Linked DNA regions of Arabidopsis thaliana. The protein of the gene in region 1 interacts with the protein of each later gene in a pairwise test. Each region holds a gene or a part of one and is shown on either strand. Other genes may lie near its edges. The genes, in order: CRK2 and RABA1c.

Region 1 (9,597 bases):
CGATCTCTTCCTTCTCAATTAGGTCAAGAAAGAGAGGACGTGAGAGAATCAATTACGATTCTGAGATGATGAACTCGAGGATTACATGGATCATCATCAAGCGAACAGGTATGAAAAGATGGGAACGATGAATGATTTTGGTTTCTCGAAGAAGAAGGACGTGAGAATAGAGCGTATTTTGATTTCTCATGAATGAAGAAGAAGAGAATGCGTGATCTAAGTGTGTGTATTTATAAGGATGGTTTTTTTTTGGTTTATTGTTAATCTAACCGTTGGGGATTTGATATTGTAGAGGAAATCTAAATTAGATTCGATTTCCAGTTACGAATAATTATATCAATCTAACCAAAAAGGAAGTTACGTTTTGGTTGAAACTTTTTTTCGATATAACGTTTACAAAGAATCATCTTTTTCGCTCACAAAATATTATATATCAAAAGGTAAGAGAGAACATGAATGATGATCAATTTAAGAAGTTGAATAATTTCAACTCCATTGCTACTTTTATTCTAAATGGTTTCTTTGTATACAAAAATTTGTCTGTTCCTAACATATGTTGTGGTGGTTGCTACAGGTAGTCTTGGTTTGTGGAGCAGAAGCCAGTTTCTGAGGACTTGACAAATACAACACACGTTGACATCAACCTACCAATGCTGCTCTATTTGTCCAGAGAGAAGCCCGCCTGGTTCTGAGATCCCGTACAAGAAAGCAGGAGCACATAGTTTCTAAGTTCTGATCTATGTGTCCAGATAGAAGCAGCCTGGTTCTGAGATCACAACAAGAAAGCAGGAGCACAAACAACAACAAAGCTTGAGCTCGAGTACCTACCTTAAACTGCTGCATTGAACCACCAATCTTATATGTTTGCAAGTCTGGTGTGGATGAGGATAACATTTTTTTGAAGATGGCATATGTTGGGAAATTCTCAGACATTTCATTCTTTGTTTCTGTTGTCTTCTCTCTTGCAAACTCGCAAGTCCGTTTATAAGCTTGCAAACTATTAAAGATAAATGTTTGAAGCTATGGGTTGGTTGAAGAAATCGCACCTAGAGCTTGAATTATTGAGTACTTTTTTTTTGTTATCAAGTATGATACATAAGATATAACTTACCTATACTATCTAGCTTCTCTCACTGGTTTATACACAAAATTTTAGTTTCTGCTCAAAGATCAAAGATTTTGTATTCTCTTCTTCTTATACACTTCTTCAAAGCTCATCTACCATAAAAGGAACTTTGTGAGACAGTGGCAAGAGATGCACAACCAGCTGAATCACCATCAGAACCATCTCGAAGTTCCATGACTCTTTCATCCATAAACGGAGGATTACTCGGCAATGGCAAGACCTCCTCTTTGTTCTTTAGCATATGTAATAACTTAGACATCGGTGGTCTTAGCGAAGGGATCTCTTGAGTGCACAATAGCCCTATTTGAACAACTCTTGCTATCTCTTTCTTGATGATGTGACTGTCATACTGACTCTTCCAATCGAGGTTTGGATCATATATTTTCTCCAACTCTCCTGACTGAAAATGCTTCCATGCCTTCAATAAAAAACATAACACCACAATTAGTTTGAGAAGTGAAACCTGCAGACCCATAGACAAAATATGTCTAACTTACCTCTGTGATCAAACTGTCTGAGTAATCTGACATTTTGCTTTTGGTGTTCTGTTTTCCAGTTACAATCTCTAGTACAAGAACTCCAAAGCTGTAAACGTCTACCATCTCTGTTAGCTGACCATGTGCTAAGTACTCCGGAGCCATATAACCTCTGCAGTTTCACAAGTATTGGATCAGCTCAAACATTCATATCTTTTTGAAGAAATGGTACATTTTTCTGAATATATACTTACAAGGTCCCTGCAATGGCAGTGCTAATATGGCTCTTATCGTCCTGGAATGATCTCGCCAGACCAAAATCGGCGATTTTAGCTTGAAGCTTTGAATCTAGCAGAATATTACTTGCTTTTATGTCTCTGTGAATAATTTTCACAGACGACTGCTCATGCAGATACACCAATCCTTCAGCGGTTCCAACGATGATCGTGTATCTTCTCTGCCAGTCTAATGTTTTCCCTCTGTTCACGTCTGCAAAAGTAATAATGAAGACAGGTTTAGTGTGCTGCTGCATTCAAGATTCAACAATAAAAACTCATCATATAGTATTATTAGTAGTAGTTACCAAAGATGAATCGATCAAGGCTCTTGTTCTGAAGGTATTCATAGACAAGGAGACTCTCTGGTCCTGAGCAGCTGCAACCAAGCAGCCTAACAAGGTTCTTATGTTCAACAGTGCTGATCATGTTGACTTCATTGTAGAAATCGGTTGCTCTATGTCTGTTGTTAAAGAATAACCGCTTCACAGCGATATCTCTTCCGTCTGGAAGAACCCCCTAAACAAGCCAGAGAGATACCACTATATCACTCATTTGCTTTACAGGAAGGTATAGAAAGAGAGACATGATCATACACACACATACCTTATAGACAGTTCCAAATCCGCCTTGTCCAAGCTTGTTCGCGTTGTCAAAAGAACCTGTGGCTTTCTCTAGTGTTGAGTATTTGAAATTCAAGCTACTGTCTTTTAGTGTTTTCGCCATTTTCTCAACATCTTTTGATCCTGTTAAGCACCAAAGATCTCGGTTAAAAACACTCAATCCTTCTTAAACCAATTCATCACAAATCAAGAAACTAATCTTACCTCTTCTCTTCCTCTTTATGGTCCGACGTTTGCAGATATAAACACTTACTGCTACTCCAATCATGAAGACAACCACAGAGCTAAGTACTGACACCACAATCACTACCACAGAGCCTGCAAAAACAATTACTTATGACCATCAAGCGAATGAGATTCTATAGAAAGCATGAATCTTTTTATTGTGTTACCTCTTGATCTTCCGTTTCTTGGTATCTTATTCAAGAAATCTTGATCAGAGTACCGAAGGAAACATCCAGTGTGAAGCGCACGTCCTTCTGACCATGGCAAACATCCTTTAACCACAGAAGCAGAGGCATTCTCCAAACACTGTTTACAAGAATCAGGACTCAAAGTTCTCCAACAATTCGCCAACACAAACGCTGATTCAGATTCAGATTCACCCGCCTTTGCAGACGCACGAGCGTACCCTCCAGTCCCAGAAGCCTCAGTAACAGCATTTCTCAGCCCTTGTCTCACCGCATCACCAAAAGTCTTATTCTTTCTCGTCGTGTTTCCACATACGATGCTATCTTCAGGTCCTTTGTATTCATTATAGAAACTATAATTCTCAGCTCTCATAAAACATCCATCAAGAAAGATTCTACCTCCGTTCTGAGGATAACACTGCGGAAGCATCGTCCTTGCTTCCGCGTAACAGAGTACACAATCGTTTAAAGGAAGATCACCATAGCACTGCGCAAGACCATAGTTAGCGTCTGGTCCTGTACCGGTGAGAGCAACTCCAAAACCGGAAGTTTGTACTTGTGTGCTGATTTTCTCCATTGTGGCTACGAAATTTGGGACATAAGCGGTTTCGTTGTGCTCAAGCAAAGGTGAGCAAGTGACTTTAACGGCTCTAGCCCTTGCGTCTCCGGTGATTTGACGGAGTGATGAAAGAAGAAACATCAAGAGACATGGAAGGTACAGAGGAAGGATATGGACAGGTTCTTTCTTCATTTTGTTTTGTTTGATTGAGAAAGAGATCTCCTTTTTTTATTCCCTCATCAAGGGTTTTGTGTTCTGTTTCAAGTTGTGAAGAAAGAAGAAGCAGAGAGATTAAGAATTGGAGATGATGAAATTGAAGAATTTTCAACTGCTTGACTTTGATGATATTGGTTTGTTAGAGTCAACCAAATTTGCTGTCTTTCTCTCTCTCTCTCTACTGGTTTAGTCAAAAAGTTAATAAAAAAAATTGATAATGGAGATTGTTGGATTTCTTCTTAGTCTTGAATTCACACTTGGAAACCAAACCAGCTCGATCATGTTGTTGAAGTCGTTGTCTTCATTCAAATATTTGTCGTTTTCATAAACCTAAAAACCAGTGGACTAATAATTAATAGAGCTTATCTTATGTGGAGCCGGTTCGGTTTAATTGGATAAATCTCTTTACCGGTATCATGAAAAATTCAATTTTCTGATTAGTTAAAGAAAAAAGAAAACGTCACATATGCGTAGTGTTTAGTAAGATGACATTCAAGAAAATGGATAAAGTGACGTTAGACTACTTTAAATAAAGAAATAGGTTTGTTGGGTTGATTTTTTTTTTGTCAATTTGTTGGGTTGATTTAGTAGGCCTAGTTGGTATAGTACAATAAAAGTTGTACAAATAATAAAAATATATATAACAAAATACCATTTACATGTTGCCATGGTCAAAGTTTTATTCAAGATCAATTGCAAAGAAAAATGAGAAGTAGTTGGACATTCAATTCTAAAAATGTTAAATCTAGTTGGCTATAATAAAGACATATGTAGTATATGTGTTTCTATCTAGTAGTCTCCTATGGCTTCCTTGAAAGAAAACAAAAACACTGATAAAAAGTCCTTGATTCGAATCCACTTGTGCAAAAATTAGGAGATCATGATCCAAACTTTGCGGTAATAAATTTAGTGAATTTTTAGTGATTTGATTTTTTTCTTGTGTACATTTAATATGTTTCATATTTTGATTCTTAGGTAAATATCCTTATGGCATTATTTGGTTTTACTCGAATTTCTTTGCATTTGTGGTTGCATTTTTCTATTTAAATATGACATTTACTCTTTCTCTTTTTGTAAAGTTAAAACGAGAACAAACACAAAAACCGCTTACTAATATACAAAGCTACTCAAAATTAACACACAAAATAAAACTACTGAACCGTAAACCGAATCACTACAATCAAAACCGAGGCTAAACCGGAATCTGTCCCCGTCATGTAAGCTCTACATTGTTCACTTCCTAGCTTCTATGACATTGTCGTGGCACATAAGTAACCCTCAGTTCCTAGCTAACACACGATTAATTGGCATCTCAATTTTTGTACATATGACACAAGATGATTCAGAATCCACACGAAAGGATACTGATATATCTAACACGATCTAAAACCTCATCTAGGTTCAAAGAAACTCGAACCCTCGGTTATGTAGTCACTCCTTGATCCTGAAGAATTAGACTGATTCGTCGTGGGAGTCATCATCATCTTTCTCATCTCTACTACACTTCCTGGATTCAGAAACGGTGGTTGCGTCGGCGTATGAATCTCCAAACTCCCTTTCATCATTTTCACAACCACAGACATCGCAGGCCGCTGATCAAACGCTGCTTGAACACAGAGAAGCCCAATTTGAAGTAGCCGTGACGCTTCTATCTTGTTGAAGTTATCACCTAAGATTGGATCCACTGCCTCTTCCACATTGCTTGTTCTGTACAGACTCCATACCTAAAATATGTTTTCAAGATTCAAGAAAAAGGATTTGATCTAAAATCAAGAAAATGTTTGAACTACTTGTAGAGAGTTAGTTTACCGATTGTAGGATCGAACCAGCGTCTTGTACGAAGGCATTGTTACGTTTTCCGGTTATAACTTCAATCATAAGAACTCCAAAACTATAAACGTCTGCTTTCTCAGTTAGTTTTCCTCGTACTACATATTCTGGTGCCATGTAGCCTCTGTTTCCACAAGTAAGAATCTTCAGAAACAACACAAGAAACGGTAGAGAGAGATATTAAAGTTACAAAGATAAGTTTTGAGACTTTACAGTGTACCGGCGATGGCAGTGCTGATATGAGTCTTGTCCTCTGGGAACAATCTAGCCAATCCAAAATCAGCAATTCTTGGAGTAAAATCATCTTCCAAAAGGATATTACTCAGCTTAATATCTCTATGTATGATTCTAAGATTTGACTCCTCGTGAAGATACGCCATTCCTTCTGCTGTACCAAGTATAATCTTGAATCTCTTTGCCCAATTCAACGGTTGAACATCTTTTCTTACTGAACCAAAACAAAGCAACAAGAACAAGTCAATAAAAGATCCATCAAGACATGGTAACTGTAGTAAAAGGTTTAGGATTGACAAAAACAAACCGAAAAGATAGTCGTGGAGGCTTTGATTTGCAATGTATTCATAGACCAGAAGGCTCTCTGGTCCAGTTATGCTGCATCCCAAGAGCTTAACAAGGTTCTTGTGGTCTACTTGGCTTATTAGATTAACTTCGTTGAAGAAATGATCCACCCATTGCTTTGTGTTGAAGAACAGTCTCTTTACTGCAACAGTCTTACCATTAGTAAGAACTCCCTACTCCACAAAAAGGGCAAAGAGTTAACCAATTGAGAAGTAGGAACATTCCAACATGAAACTCTAGAAAATGTATAATAAGAACAGAACTTACCTTATAGACAGAGCCAGATCCTCCTTGTCCTAACTTATTTTTGTCGCTGAAGTAATCGGTAGCCCTCTCGAGATTCTCATAGGAGAAACAGAGATTAGATTTGTTCGCAAGCATGAATAATGACCCTAGTTGCTTCTTCTCTACATTACATTACACACACACACACACAAATATCTGTTAAGATCAAGACTTCACTATTATAACCACTCAAACTCTATGACTAATCTTGAAAACTAAGCTATTTCTGGAACATAAATCTTAACTAATTCTTTATGGAACAAACCTCTTTGCTTCTTGGCGTGTCTCTTTTTAAGCAAGAAACCAGCGGCAGAGACCAACAGAACAAAAGCCACAACCGAAGATGTCACCGCCAAAATCACACCCAAATGGTTATGACCTGATCAACAAGAATGTTGCTAAATAAATGTTACAAACATATACTAAATTTAAATCATATTTCAAGCTTATTCTACTTACCACCATTACCATCTGATGTAGAATTTCCAGAATTGTTATAAAACTTTTGAGTAGAAAACCTCATATAGCAACCAGCACTAAGAACTCGACCTTCTTCATTAACCAAACAAGAACCAATCCTCACTGAAGCTTTACTCAAACACTCAACACAACCACTTCTATTAAGAGTCTCCCAACACTGAGCCAGACCATGAACCGTCACGTTATGTCTATCCACAAAACCAGCATAGAATCCACCATTTCTCACCGCCTCCACACTCATGTTCTTAACCAACTCTGCAGCGTTATCCCGAAATACCGTCCGGTTTACTCCGGTAATCTCCTTTGGAGCACAAACTGTCCGGTCTTGCAAGCTTAACGTCTCGTTATAGAAATTGTAGTCATCGTACCTAAAACAAAGATACAACAATCGATTATAACCAAATGCAAGAATCAATCAAACCATAAAGTTAAGATTTTTATCGGATTGAAATGAGTGTGAGAGAGAAACAAACCTGATGTAGCAACCATCTGAGAAGACTTGACCACCACGAGTACCTTTTTGGAAAGGTAAGCAACGAGGAACTTTAGCTTTGATCTGAGCGAAACACAAGTCGCAATCTTTCTTATCAAGATCTTTTATACACTCTCCGTAAGCGTAGACGGTTAAGTTTCCGGTACCGTTGACCACTTGTCCGTAACCTTTAGCTTCCACTAGTGGAGAGACCGCGTCCATGGCGGCGAGGAAATTGGTGACGAAGAGACTTCTCTGTTGCGGCGTCGTTGTTCTGTTGTTGCATATCTGAGCCACTGTGTCTCCTCTCGAGTCTGAAACAGAAGGGCTTATAAACAAACCCAGAATAAGAAGAAGAAGAGTCAGAATCGGCATCTGGGTTTAGTGGTTAAGCTTTTGAAATTGAACAAGAAAGCATTTGTGTAAGGTTTTTGATCTTTGCTCTGTTTTCTTTTTCTTCTCTCTTGAAATGGATTGGGTGATTGAGAATCAAGAAGGAGACACGATCGGGAAGTTGAAATTGAAATTCTTAGATTTTGGTTGTTGGGTCAACAAAAGAAGAAAACTTGGAAAATTTTCCAGTTTGAGAGTTTTTCCAATTGTAAGAGAAGTCAAAGAGTGGACTTTTGTCTTCTTACGATTCAACGAAAGATACCGATCGCATTGGGGTATTGAAAGCAGAAAACGACGCCGTGTGGGAGTTATGTTCTGTTTTAATGCACGGGGCATCATGACGTCATTGCTTTTGTCACTTTTTTGTATGTTCTGTTTTGTCACCCACAATGCGGAACATAGAAAAAACAAGGATTTCTGTTACGGTTATATAAGTTATACAATCGTTGGGTAGTTGCCAATTTGCAATTCGTATTTACTAGGCATGGAACTTTAAACAGAATAGAGAATGTCGAACCAGACCGAGATTTTCCGAATTTCGATTTAGGGAATTGAGCTAAGTCACTAACGGTAAAGTCTATTTTAGTAACCGTTAACCGTTCAGTTCATAATAAACTTGTATATTTATCGATTAACCATTCGGTTCGAGTGTTTGAACTGATCAAAACCAGTAAACGATAAACATATAACCTCTAAAGTTCATTATATCTAGCCATCGTCGGCCAGCCTCTTTGTCTTTTTCTTCTTACGTCGTAATAGTAAGAATATTTTACTAATTTGCACTGTCTGAAACTCTGAATAGTCCAACACAAACAAATTCATGAGTGATATGAAATTAAAAACAGATTTTGATCAATGCAAGAATCTTCTAAAGTTCGGAGTAATTTTCCGGATATTTCCTCTTTTACGTTTTTTTGTAGGAATAGTTTGAGAAAACAAGGCAACGTAATGGATAATGGCGTAAGTTCTCGTCTGCCGTATTGTGAAGGTCGTCTCTAAATCAAAGCAACTTCAAAGTCTTCAATTATTCTTTTTATTCTTTCTCCACCACAATTATCCATCGACAATCTTACTTTTATCAGCCATTTTATCTGAATTTGCCGCATATTTTGACTTACTTGTACATTCTGAAAATGACAGTTTTATTCCTGTCAAACTAATCAACCATCACTTTTTGAAAATTACGTTTTTGTGAACTAATGAAACAGTGTTTTGTTTCGTTATTTTTCAATCAGGCAGATAGATCTTAGAAAATAATTGTCTTAAAAATTTACATAAATTTGTGAAATTATTGGTACCAGATAATTTTCGGCGAATTTTATTTAGAAAAACGAAAATAATAGAAACCGATGGGTCCTCGACGTCTAGAAGCAAAGCGACCAACCCGTGACTATCAAAGTCAGCGTCAACTCCAAATATGAAATATCCAACCCATGCTTATTGTATTACTATATCATTGCATTAATATCTTATCGCAAAAACAAAATCCTTACATTGATTGAGATCTATTTCGAAGTCATGTCATTCTAAGATTATTAAACTCTTATCTTTTCAGTACAAGCTAAACCATGTTCTGAAGTGATAGCGATGTTGTGTTGTATTTTTCTTCTTGTTGTTTATTGACGAAATGATGCATTTTGAGTCTACCATTAAGCGACGTTCTAAGATTTTTTTTCTTCGGATTGACGAAACGAATAATCTCGAGCTTGTTCTACACGTTAGTTAATTAGTTTCAACTTTCAAGATATTAGAATTTGTTGGCAATTATATAATGATGAAAGCTTTGACTTATGTTTAGTTGTGTGAGCACTGGCCACTAATCGCACCTTCTCCACCCATAACCACCACTATTACTCTTTTGAATTAAATAATT
Region 2 (9,597 bases), on another chromosome or scaffold:
AATTGGATTTCAACTTCGTAACAAAATCTTAATTGTGTAAATGGGACAAGAAGAAAAATCTGAAAGGGAGAAGTTAAATACACAAAAGTATAGAACAAACAAATAGTACGTAATGAAGTTGATGATAGTAAAAGAATTTAACAATTCAATAATTAAATGTAATCATTCTTTATAATTTGGTTATCAAACAAAAAAATAAACTAACTTGTAGATCAAGCAACCATTCTAATGTCAAAAATAAAAATGAATCTCTTAGACTAATAACAATGTCAAAAAGGATGAAGCTTTTAGACTATTTTTATGGACCCATCAGGCCTATTTAAGAGATTGAGTAAACCTTAACTACTCTTGTTGTGTCACACACTACAAGATTCTCAGAATCAGATTGATTCGTGCAAAGCCAATTCACCTGTTTAAGAAACACCAACAAATGTTCAGAATCAGACAAAAGAGAAAAGAGCAAAAAGAACAATGTGAGCTTTTAGTTACCTTCTTGCTTAGGTTAATATTCAAATGGAGGAGATCACTGTTATTGTTGTTGTTGTTTGGATCAAGACATTTAAAGCAATCCCAGATTTTGACTGTTTTATCATTACCACCAGAGATTAAGAATCTACCTTTCTCCTGAAACAGAGAAAAGGCTACACAAGAAACAGCAGAATTGTGTCCACCAACAGAGTAGTCTAAACAAACCCTTTTGACCACATTGTTGCTGCTGCTGCTGCTACTTCCTTTTGATGATGTTCCTTTTCGGGAAAGTTCTGATTCGATATTGATCAAATTGACAATTCCATCACCTCTAGCAACCGCACATATCTTGTCTAACTTATCAACCATGTCCATTTCCGGTATTGCTATTGAGTGAACAAACGCAGGGTTTAGGCATTGTCCCGAGTTATTATTTGTATCAGATCCTGAAAGATTACAGAAATGACTTGCAAAATCAGATTTGTTGCATATATATATGGCTAAAGAAACCAGAATTAGTGGCATAGTCTTTACCAAAGTCTATAATCTTTTGCGAGCGACCTTTTGAGAAATCCCATAAAACAAGCTTTGAATCAAGTCCACCAGTTATAACTGAAAGAAATTAGACACTTTAGAAGAGATGTGTATATATAATAACAAATCACAATAAGATATTAGTTACCTTCCCAAGGTCTCCATGGAATGAATTGTACAGAACTACATATCTTATATGTCTCATTAAGGTGTTGATTTGAGACATTTTTTCGAGGCTAGTAGAGTTTCATAGACGAGAATGGGTAAAAAAAACGAAGTAAGGATACACTTGTGTGACCAGCTCTAAGGGTTTTATAAAGGCATTTCTGACCAAGGTCGATGATCTGTGTACAAGCAAACTAATCAAACCGAGAACCGTCCCACCAAAATTCATGTTTATGTAATCTTTAAGAGTTTTAAGTATTAAGAACAACTATTGAGTGTACCTTAACATCGCCGGAATCATCTGCAGAAGCAAGAAAAGACGACCTTCCGTTACATACTACCTTTAACAAATCAAAAGATGTCAACATCAATGTCATAGGTAAATATGATAACTTTTTCGAAAAGTCGAGTTTTTAGTATCTCTACCTGGTTAACTTCATCTTTGTTGTAATTGTAACTCTCTAATGGCTTCCAAGAAGTAGCACTTAGCTATGAAATTGCATAAAGAGAGAAGCTTTAAAACTAAGTGAAGGATATGGTTATAGTTAGTTAATCAAAGTTTGAACATTTTAAATTACCGTATGAACATCGAAAGACTTGATTTCGTTTCCACAAGAAGCATAGAGAATGTTCTCATTACCTGAAAAATCAAATAAAAGTTATCACCAAATTGCAACAAAGAGAAGAAATTGAAAGAGAGAGAAACAGACAAAACACAAAGAGACAAAACCTGTCTTGAAACAAAGAGATGAAACTGGTTCTGTTCCAACATCGATGATGAATTGAACATCTTTACATCGCAAATCAAACCAGCAAATGCAACCATCCTATAATCGTATGATCGGAAAACTATGAATCTTGCGAAGTAACTACAATAACGAAACCTAAATTCATCGGAAAAAAGAGGTTTGAATTAGAGATTAAGAAACCTCGCCGGAAGTGAGAACAATTCCAGGCCGGTCACGAGAAGCTATACAACAAGTGGCAGTTGATTTGTGGCCTCTCAGCTTCCTTGGCTCTTCCATTGCCGTAGCCATAACTGTGAGTGAGAGTTTCTCCGGCGATTGCTCAGTTTCAAGCTCTAAATTGAGCTAAAAAAGGCTAACCGAAACAAACCAAAACTAAACCGGATATTTTGGTAATCCTTCGGTTTTGTACCAAAAAAATCGAAACAACAAAATTCCAACCTAACAGAAATCGATTTTAGTACCACTTAACCAAAATGAACCGATACGGTGAAACGAAATCAAACCGAAAATTATGTTCAACCAAACTGAAATCATCAAAGGCAGAAACTATTTTTATCTTTTCTTTTCAACAATTCTATTGTTTGAGATAAATATAATTTAGGGTTCTGAAAATTTGACATAGCATTTTCAAACAATAACATTGATAGATCAGATAAATAACAGAAATACACCAAATGGGCATTACTCAACCTAAAAGCAATCTTCATATTCGATAGAACCGTTAACAAAAACCGATCCTTAGGTTGTTAACAATAATTCTACTCTCTGATTAGTTCGAGCAGCATCCACCTTTCTTCACAGCTGAAACATCTTTACCGATATCGATCTTGTCTCCTTTCGATGGAACATTAGCGGATTCGCTCGCAGCTTCCATCGCCTTCTTGCTCACAATGTGGTGAATCTGAGTGAGGACTTCGGCGAAAGCGTTCTCAACATTGGTGGCTTCGAGAGCCGAGGTTTCCATGAAGTAGAGAGATTCTTTCTCGGCGAATGACTTAGCATCTTCAGTCTGAACAGCCACGAGATGGCGAAGGTCAGATTTGTTGCCCACGAGCATGACTACAATGTTTGGATCAGTGTGGTTTCTGAGTTCTTTCAGCCAAGTCTCAACGTTTTCAAATGTTGAGTGTCGGGTTACATCGTAGACAAGAAGCGCTCCAACAGCTCCTCGGTAATACGCACTAGTGATGGCTCGGTACCTATTGAAACAAAGTCAACGAAACAGAGAATTAAGTTAACCGAAACATCAGGAACACAAAAAAGGCAAGAAGCTTTACAGTTTCGAATTCAGACTATGCACGCTTTACAAAACTGATCAGAGAAATGGAGAATAGCAAATCATACAAAGCAAGAAGCTTTTCAATTTTGAAATTAAGACCAAGTAAAAGCTTCAAATGAAAGTTTAAGAATCCAACTAAAACCAATCAAGCTCTCTTACATAAATAAACTAAGCAAAAACAACAGAAGAAATCGATAATGATTGAAGAATCTTAGGTGAAATCTGAGAAAGAAGAGCTAAGAATCGTAGAAATGAAGTTACTGAAACCAATCAAGCTCTCTCACATAAACCTAAAATAGCAAAAACAACAGAAGAAATTTGATAAAGCTGATAACTTTATAATCATAATCATAGGATTCTCCTATCTTACACAAAACCCAAGTTGTCAAAATCACATACTAATCCAGATCTCTTCTTATAAAAGTGATCAATACCAATGGATCTAAATCAATTGATACAGATCTAACCTAAGCTGAAAATTTACTGTCTTTGGCAACCAAACAAAACCATAAACCCCAAAACTTCAATCAAAATGTTCTAATATAAGAAACCAGATCGAGAAATGAACAATGTGGTTGAAAAAGATGAGACCTTTCTTGACCAGCAGTATCCCAAATCTGAGCTTTGATGACTTTATCATCAACATTCAAACTCCGAGTCGCGAACTCGACCCCGATCGTGGATTTTGACTCGAGACTAAACTCGTTCTTCGTGAATCGTGAAAGCAAATTGGATTTGCCCACACCTGAATCACCTATCAGAACAACCTTGAATAGGTAATCGTATTCATCATCTGCTCTGTAACCCGCCATTGATTCTCTCCTTCAAAGCTTTTAACTTTACTCCTTCAGATTCGAGAAAACAAAACAAAGAGAGAGATAAAAATGGGTCCTTCTTTTCAAAATGAAAAACCCAAATGAGATTTGAAACTTGTTGCTCTTTTTTCCTTAGATTTTGTTTTGAAAATTTTTTCGATTTCAACAGAGAAAGACGCGGAATTGGAAAATATCAAACGAGAAAGACAAAGGACTTGTGTACTGTCTTTATCACAAAGAAATCTAACATTTGTGTGGCCAAATTTACTAAACTGCCCTGTTAACGCGTTCTGATCTATTACCTTGCTCGCTTCGATAAAGACGAGGACGTATTCGTCAATTCACATTTGTCTTTATCTTTTATGTTTTTCTAAACTGATTAAAATGATAAAAAAGAATGCGTCTGCCGGGAGTCGAACCCGGGTCTATTGCTTGGAAGGCAATTATCCTAACCGTTGGACTACAGACGCTGACGATTAATTCAAACAGATATAATATACTAATCCAGAATAATATGACGTGGCAAGTAAAGTGACTATAAATAAAATCGGGGAGATCTGTTTTCACTTTCTTCTCTCTAACAAACTAAGGCCTTGAATGGTACTAGTTTTTAAAGTTGATTTTGGCTTTTGATTTTACAAAATCCACTTTTTCATCCATTCATGATTTTGTAAAAAGTTAATTTCCTAAATTATAGGGAATTCAAAATTTAAAAGATTCTAGTCATTTGTTCTTAAAATCCAAAATTCACTTTTTTGGGATTTTCAACAAATTCTATCGTAAACTCTTTTTTTTTTGTTTTTAAAAATAAAAATAAAGTTTTAAATAAATAATTTTAAAACGTTTCTAAATAATAATTATATAAAAATCAAAAACTAGAAAAGTTACCATTTAAGATTTTGCAAAATCTAAAATCTCCACCAAAATCAAAAACTCATAAAATCAAAAACAAAAAACCAAAAGCCACAATCCAAAATCCAAAAACCCACCAAAATCAACAAAACATTCATGGCCTAATTTGGCAGTCAAAACAGAATTTGACCTTGAAGACGACTCTTGCAGACTTCTCCGGCGATTCTCCCGCCGTGAAACTCTTATCGGCGGCTATCTTTCTCCGTTTCGTTCCCGACGGTCGAGTTTGTACTGGCATTTACTTTACTTGTTCGAAGCGACTTCCAATTTTCACCTAATCAAACGCGACTCTCAACGGTTCGAGAATGGGTTGTATCGGATCTTCTCAGGCCAGAAATGAAGGCGGAGGTTAGTGGAATCGATACTCTCTTAAACCTTTAATTCCGCACTCCGTTTGTCTCGCTGAATTTGTTCTCAGAATTTGGGCTACGATTTATACTTGTGTTGTAATGTTTTGATTCTTGGTGATAGTTCTAGTTTTGAGGTGTTAACATGAACTAATCTTGCAAATGTTATGATTCTTGGAGTGATTTCGAAGGAAATATCAGTTTATTGTGGTGTTGACATGTTTGTGATTCGTTAAAGATTCCAAATTTTGAAGCTCAGAATTAGTTCAGCAGAGAATTAGAATGCTCTTCAACATTGTTTCTACTGCTCAGAATTAGAATGTTGGATCAGAGAAAGTTGTTATCGATGGTATGATTGAAATGAAATGGCCGTTTACTAATGTTATAACATTCCATTTTTACCAAGAAAAATTGTTCTGTGAACAATAGACAATATAATCTGATTCGTTCTGCCTTATACTGTATTTGTTGTCTTGATGAAATTGAAACTGTGATGATCTTCTGAAGTAGATGGCTATAATATTGGTGTTACTGAAAGAACTGTTTTAAAATTGGTGGTAGTTTATATTGTATCATTCTCTTATGAGTTTTGTACGTTTGACACAGCAAAAAGGAAGAAAATCATGAAACCTAAACCGTGGGCACATACTGAGCCAATCACAAGGGCACAACTTACGAACATGCGTGAGGAATTTTGGGACACCTCTCCACACTATGGTGGTCAAAGAGGTATATATATATCTCTCTTTCTTGTAATCTGCTGCATCGCACTATGTACATTTGGAAACTGAGCGAAATTTACTGAAAACCAGAGATATGGGAAGCACTTCGAGCTGCTGCTGAAGCTGACTTGAAACTAGCACAAACTATTGTTGACAGTGCAGGCGTGATTGTTCAGAACCGTGACCTAACATTGTGCTGGGATGAAAGAGGTTTGTAATACACAATTCTGATTCGTTTCTCTCGTTTCTTGTTTTGTTACCTTAATGACTTGCTCTTATTCAATGCAGGTGCTAGATATGAGCTTCCTAGGTACGTTCTAAGTGAGCCCACGAATCTGATTCGAGAGGAAGGACAGTAACTTCCAAGAACATTGACACAATACTTAGTAAGTAGTAGAAGAGGACTAGAAGTTGAAGTAAGTCTCTCATATTCAATACTTTTTGCAATTGATAGTGAATAGAAACACGGTATATTAGTAGGAGACACTCTCTGTATAGTTACTGGAATCTAAAGTGAGAGATGGTGGTTGAGGTACAAATGTACAGAGCCAAGAGTTGTGAACTTTTGTGGTCAAAATGATCTTATGAAGTCTTTTTGACAACCAGGGGCGGATCTACGTTGTGGGTAGGTAGGGCACGTGCCCTACACAAGGTTTATAAAGTTTATCTTGGAATACAACTGATATATTTGAAGCTAGCGTTAGTGGTTGTGTCCCCACACTCTTTCAATCCGTGCTTGGGTTCGAGTCTAGGTAGCAGATACCTTTTTTTTTTTAACATTGTCTTTTTCTTCTACCACAAACATTAATTTGAATTATCTAATGTTACACTTAGCTCAAACTTCCTTATTTAGTTAAAGTTTATGTTGATACTAGATAAGGCCCGCCTATTTAGGCGGGTGTACCGAAAATTTTCAAATACTTGAACGGGTCTAAACTTCAAAACCCGAAAAACTCGAACCCGAACCCGAATAGGTATCCAAACATATTTCAAATATAAGTATATATTAGTTATATTTACACTTATATATAGAAAATATTAGGATTTTTTGGATATTTTAGTTATTTTTGTGTCTTTTTAGATATATTCAAGCAAAACTACTGGTGTTGTTTTGAGAATTTTTGAAATTTTGAAGTAATTTAATAGATTTGCACACAAAATTTGATATTTCAATATATAAATAAACTCGAATCCGAACCCGAACCCGACCCGAAATCTTAAACTACCCGAACGGGTCCTAAACTTCTAAACCCGAAAACCCTAACCCGAAATACCCGACCCGAATACCCAAACGCCCAGGGCTAATAATTAATAGAAAAAAGAAATCCACAAAAATATTTAGAAACCAAACATTGTTGAAAATATATTTTCTATATATAGCGTAATCTCGTAAGTTAATTTTACATCATGCAAATTAATATTAACTGAGTTAAAATTAATAAATGAAAATAATTGAAAAGTTAAATCCTGTAAGCTAAGCTATTTTTCTCAAAATGTTCTATTTTCACTTATGACTAGATGAATTCCCACGCTACGCGTGGGTTTGTTTTGAAAATTCTTTAGATAAAAATATGTTAATTATTTTTGTCGCTAATTTATGTTTATTTTTTGTTTGTTATTTTATACTTAGTAAAATTAGACTCATCTTATGTACTTACATTTTTATTGTTAGATTCATTTTTGACTCTAAATATCAATTTTTATATATTTTCATGTATAATCTGATTATTTTTATATCCAAGATTCTAAAATTTGTTCATTATCATGAATACACACAACAAGAATATAAGATATTTTGATATCAAGAGTTTTCGTATGAAAAAAAAAGAAGCAAAAATTAAAGAGTTATTTTAGTAACACTTTTTAGATTTTATACTATTGCATATAGCCGTAAGAGACAAATGGATTTGTTTTGAATTTTGTGGTATGTTTAACGTCTCAAAAGTCTATTACTTGAAAATATTGAATGTCAATGTTACGAACTTACCTAAAGATACAAAAATGAAAATACATAATTTCATATGATAAGATATGAACCATAACGTAATAATAATTAAAAAAATCAAGGTAAAATAACTACACTAATATTAGGTAGCAAACAAATAAACTACAACACAAACAACTATTTAGTCATTATAGAGTGATGACCATTGACCATTAAATTTTTTTAAAATATAAAATAATAAAAGTAAAATAAAAGTAGTAAATGATTTATTTAAATAAGTAATTTTATTTTTATTTATATTTTGAAAAAATCATTTAAGAAATGAATTAATGGAGGATTTAACACAATATGAGACTTTTGATTTTCTCTCAATTAATTTTGCTAATTTTAATTTAATCAATATTAAATGACACATGTTATTTTCTTGTGTGATGATGTGTCACCCATATGGAGAGAGTTGGCCAACTTTCATATATATGATTACATGAGTTAAAGACAAATTTGTTAATTTTTCTTTTGTTGAATAAATGTCCCAAAACCTTAAATTACCCGAACGGGTCCTAAACTTCTAAACCCGAAAACTCGAACCCTAAATACCCGACCCGAATACCCAAACGCCTAGGGCTAATAATTAATATAAAAAAAAAAATCCACAAAAATATTTAGAAACCAAACATTGTTGAAAATATATTTTCTATATATGCCGTAATCTCGTAAGTTAATTTTACATCATGCAAATTAATATTAAATGAGTTAAAATTAATAAATAAAAATAATTGAAAAGTTAAATCCTGTAAGCTAAGCTATTTTTCTCAAAATGTTCTATTTTCACTTATGATTACATGAGTTAAAGACAAATTTGTTAATTTTCCTTTTGTTGAATAAATGTTAATTGTTTATAAATATATAGACATATAAATTAGTATATGTAAATTTGTTTACTTTTTAAGATTTTCTATTTTCTTAGAGAATTAAAAAGTTAAATTTTGAATGACACATGTAAACATCTGATCGTTTGACTTGACACGTGGCACAATCCTATGAGTTAGCAACTTTGAAAACCATACTTTATATAATAAGATTTCTTTGTGATCTGATTAAATATTATTTGTGTTATATCTTAAATGTTAATATATATATGAAAATAATTACGAAATTCTATATTCATGTTATATATACCTACATAAATTGTAAAAATTAAATTTTATGTATAATATTTTTGATAAATATATATTAAAAAAATAGTGCCCCAGACTATATATTTCTCTAGATCCGCTATTGTTGACAACTATCTTATGCAATGTATATATACACACACACAACTATAAAATTTGCAGGAATACGAATAGGCATCATATATGCTCCATCACTCTTTCTCTTACATGACTAATAAATTACTTGAGACAAAAGGGTCGCTTAAATATTTTGGAGCTTTGATTAGGATTTGCATACATGAAACTTAAAGGAACTGAAGATAATCATTCCTCTATTGTTATTATTATTAAAAAAAAACTGCATTACATAGAAGCAAATAGATCCTATTTATAAACCCCTCACACTGGTTTCTACAGGATCCGAAAACAAATTAACTCAGATTCTAGAAGAATCCCAAATACATGAAAAGAAAGAAAATAGGAGAAAGAAAAGATACAGAAGATATC

The links.
Region 2: the proteins of CRK2 (region 1) and RABA1c interact in binary tests that used the Arabidopsis thaliana proteins (3 or more experiments, as listed by UniProt).

Annotation. Positions count from the first base shown.
Region 1 is NC_003070.9:26,583,674-26,593,270, forward strand, and holds CRK2 (cysteine-rich RLK (RECEPTOR-like protein kinase) 2), read right to left. Parts: upstream 3,956-9,597; 5' UTR 3,662-3,955; coding exon 2,893-3,661; intron 2,819-2,892; coding exon 2,705-2,818; intron 2,624-2,704; coding exon 2,484-2,623; intron 2,397-2,483; coding exon 2,186-2,396; intron 2,092-2,185; coding exon 1,857-2,091; intron 1,775-1,856; coding exon 1,624-1,774; intron 1,545-1,623; coding exon 1,215-1,544; 3' UTR 1,056-1,214; downstream 1-1,055. Other genes in the region: CRK3 (cysteine-rich RLK (RECEPTOR-like protein kinase) 3), read right to left, coding at 5,077-5,409, 5,495-5,639, 5,729-5,963, 6,057-6,267, 6,362-6,501, 6,645-6,758, 6,839-7,227, 7,333-7,706.
Region 2 is NC_003076.8:18,553,728-18,563,324, reverse strand, and holds RABA1c (RAB GTPase homolog A1C), read right to left. Parts: upstream 4,266-9,597; 5' UTR 4,008-4,265; coding exon 3,787-4,007; intron 3,116-3,786; coding exon 2,686-3,115; 3' UTR 2,380-2,685; downstream 1-2,379. Other genes in the region: AT5G45760 (Transducin/WD40 repeat-like superfamily protein), read right to left, coding at 320-409, 490-914, 1,003-1,080, 1,151-1,193, 1,290-1,346, 1,449-1,508, 1,594-1,656, 1,746-1,807 and 2 more; AT5G45740 (Ubiquitin domain-containing protein), read left to right, coding at 5,228-5,270, 5,876-5,998, 6,082-6,201, 6,280-6,350. UniProt on the Arabidopsis thaliana protein: Intracellular vesicle trafficking and protein transport.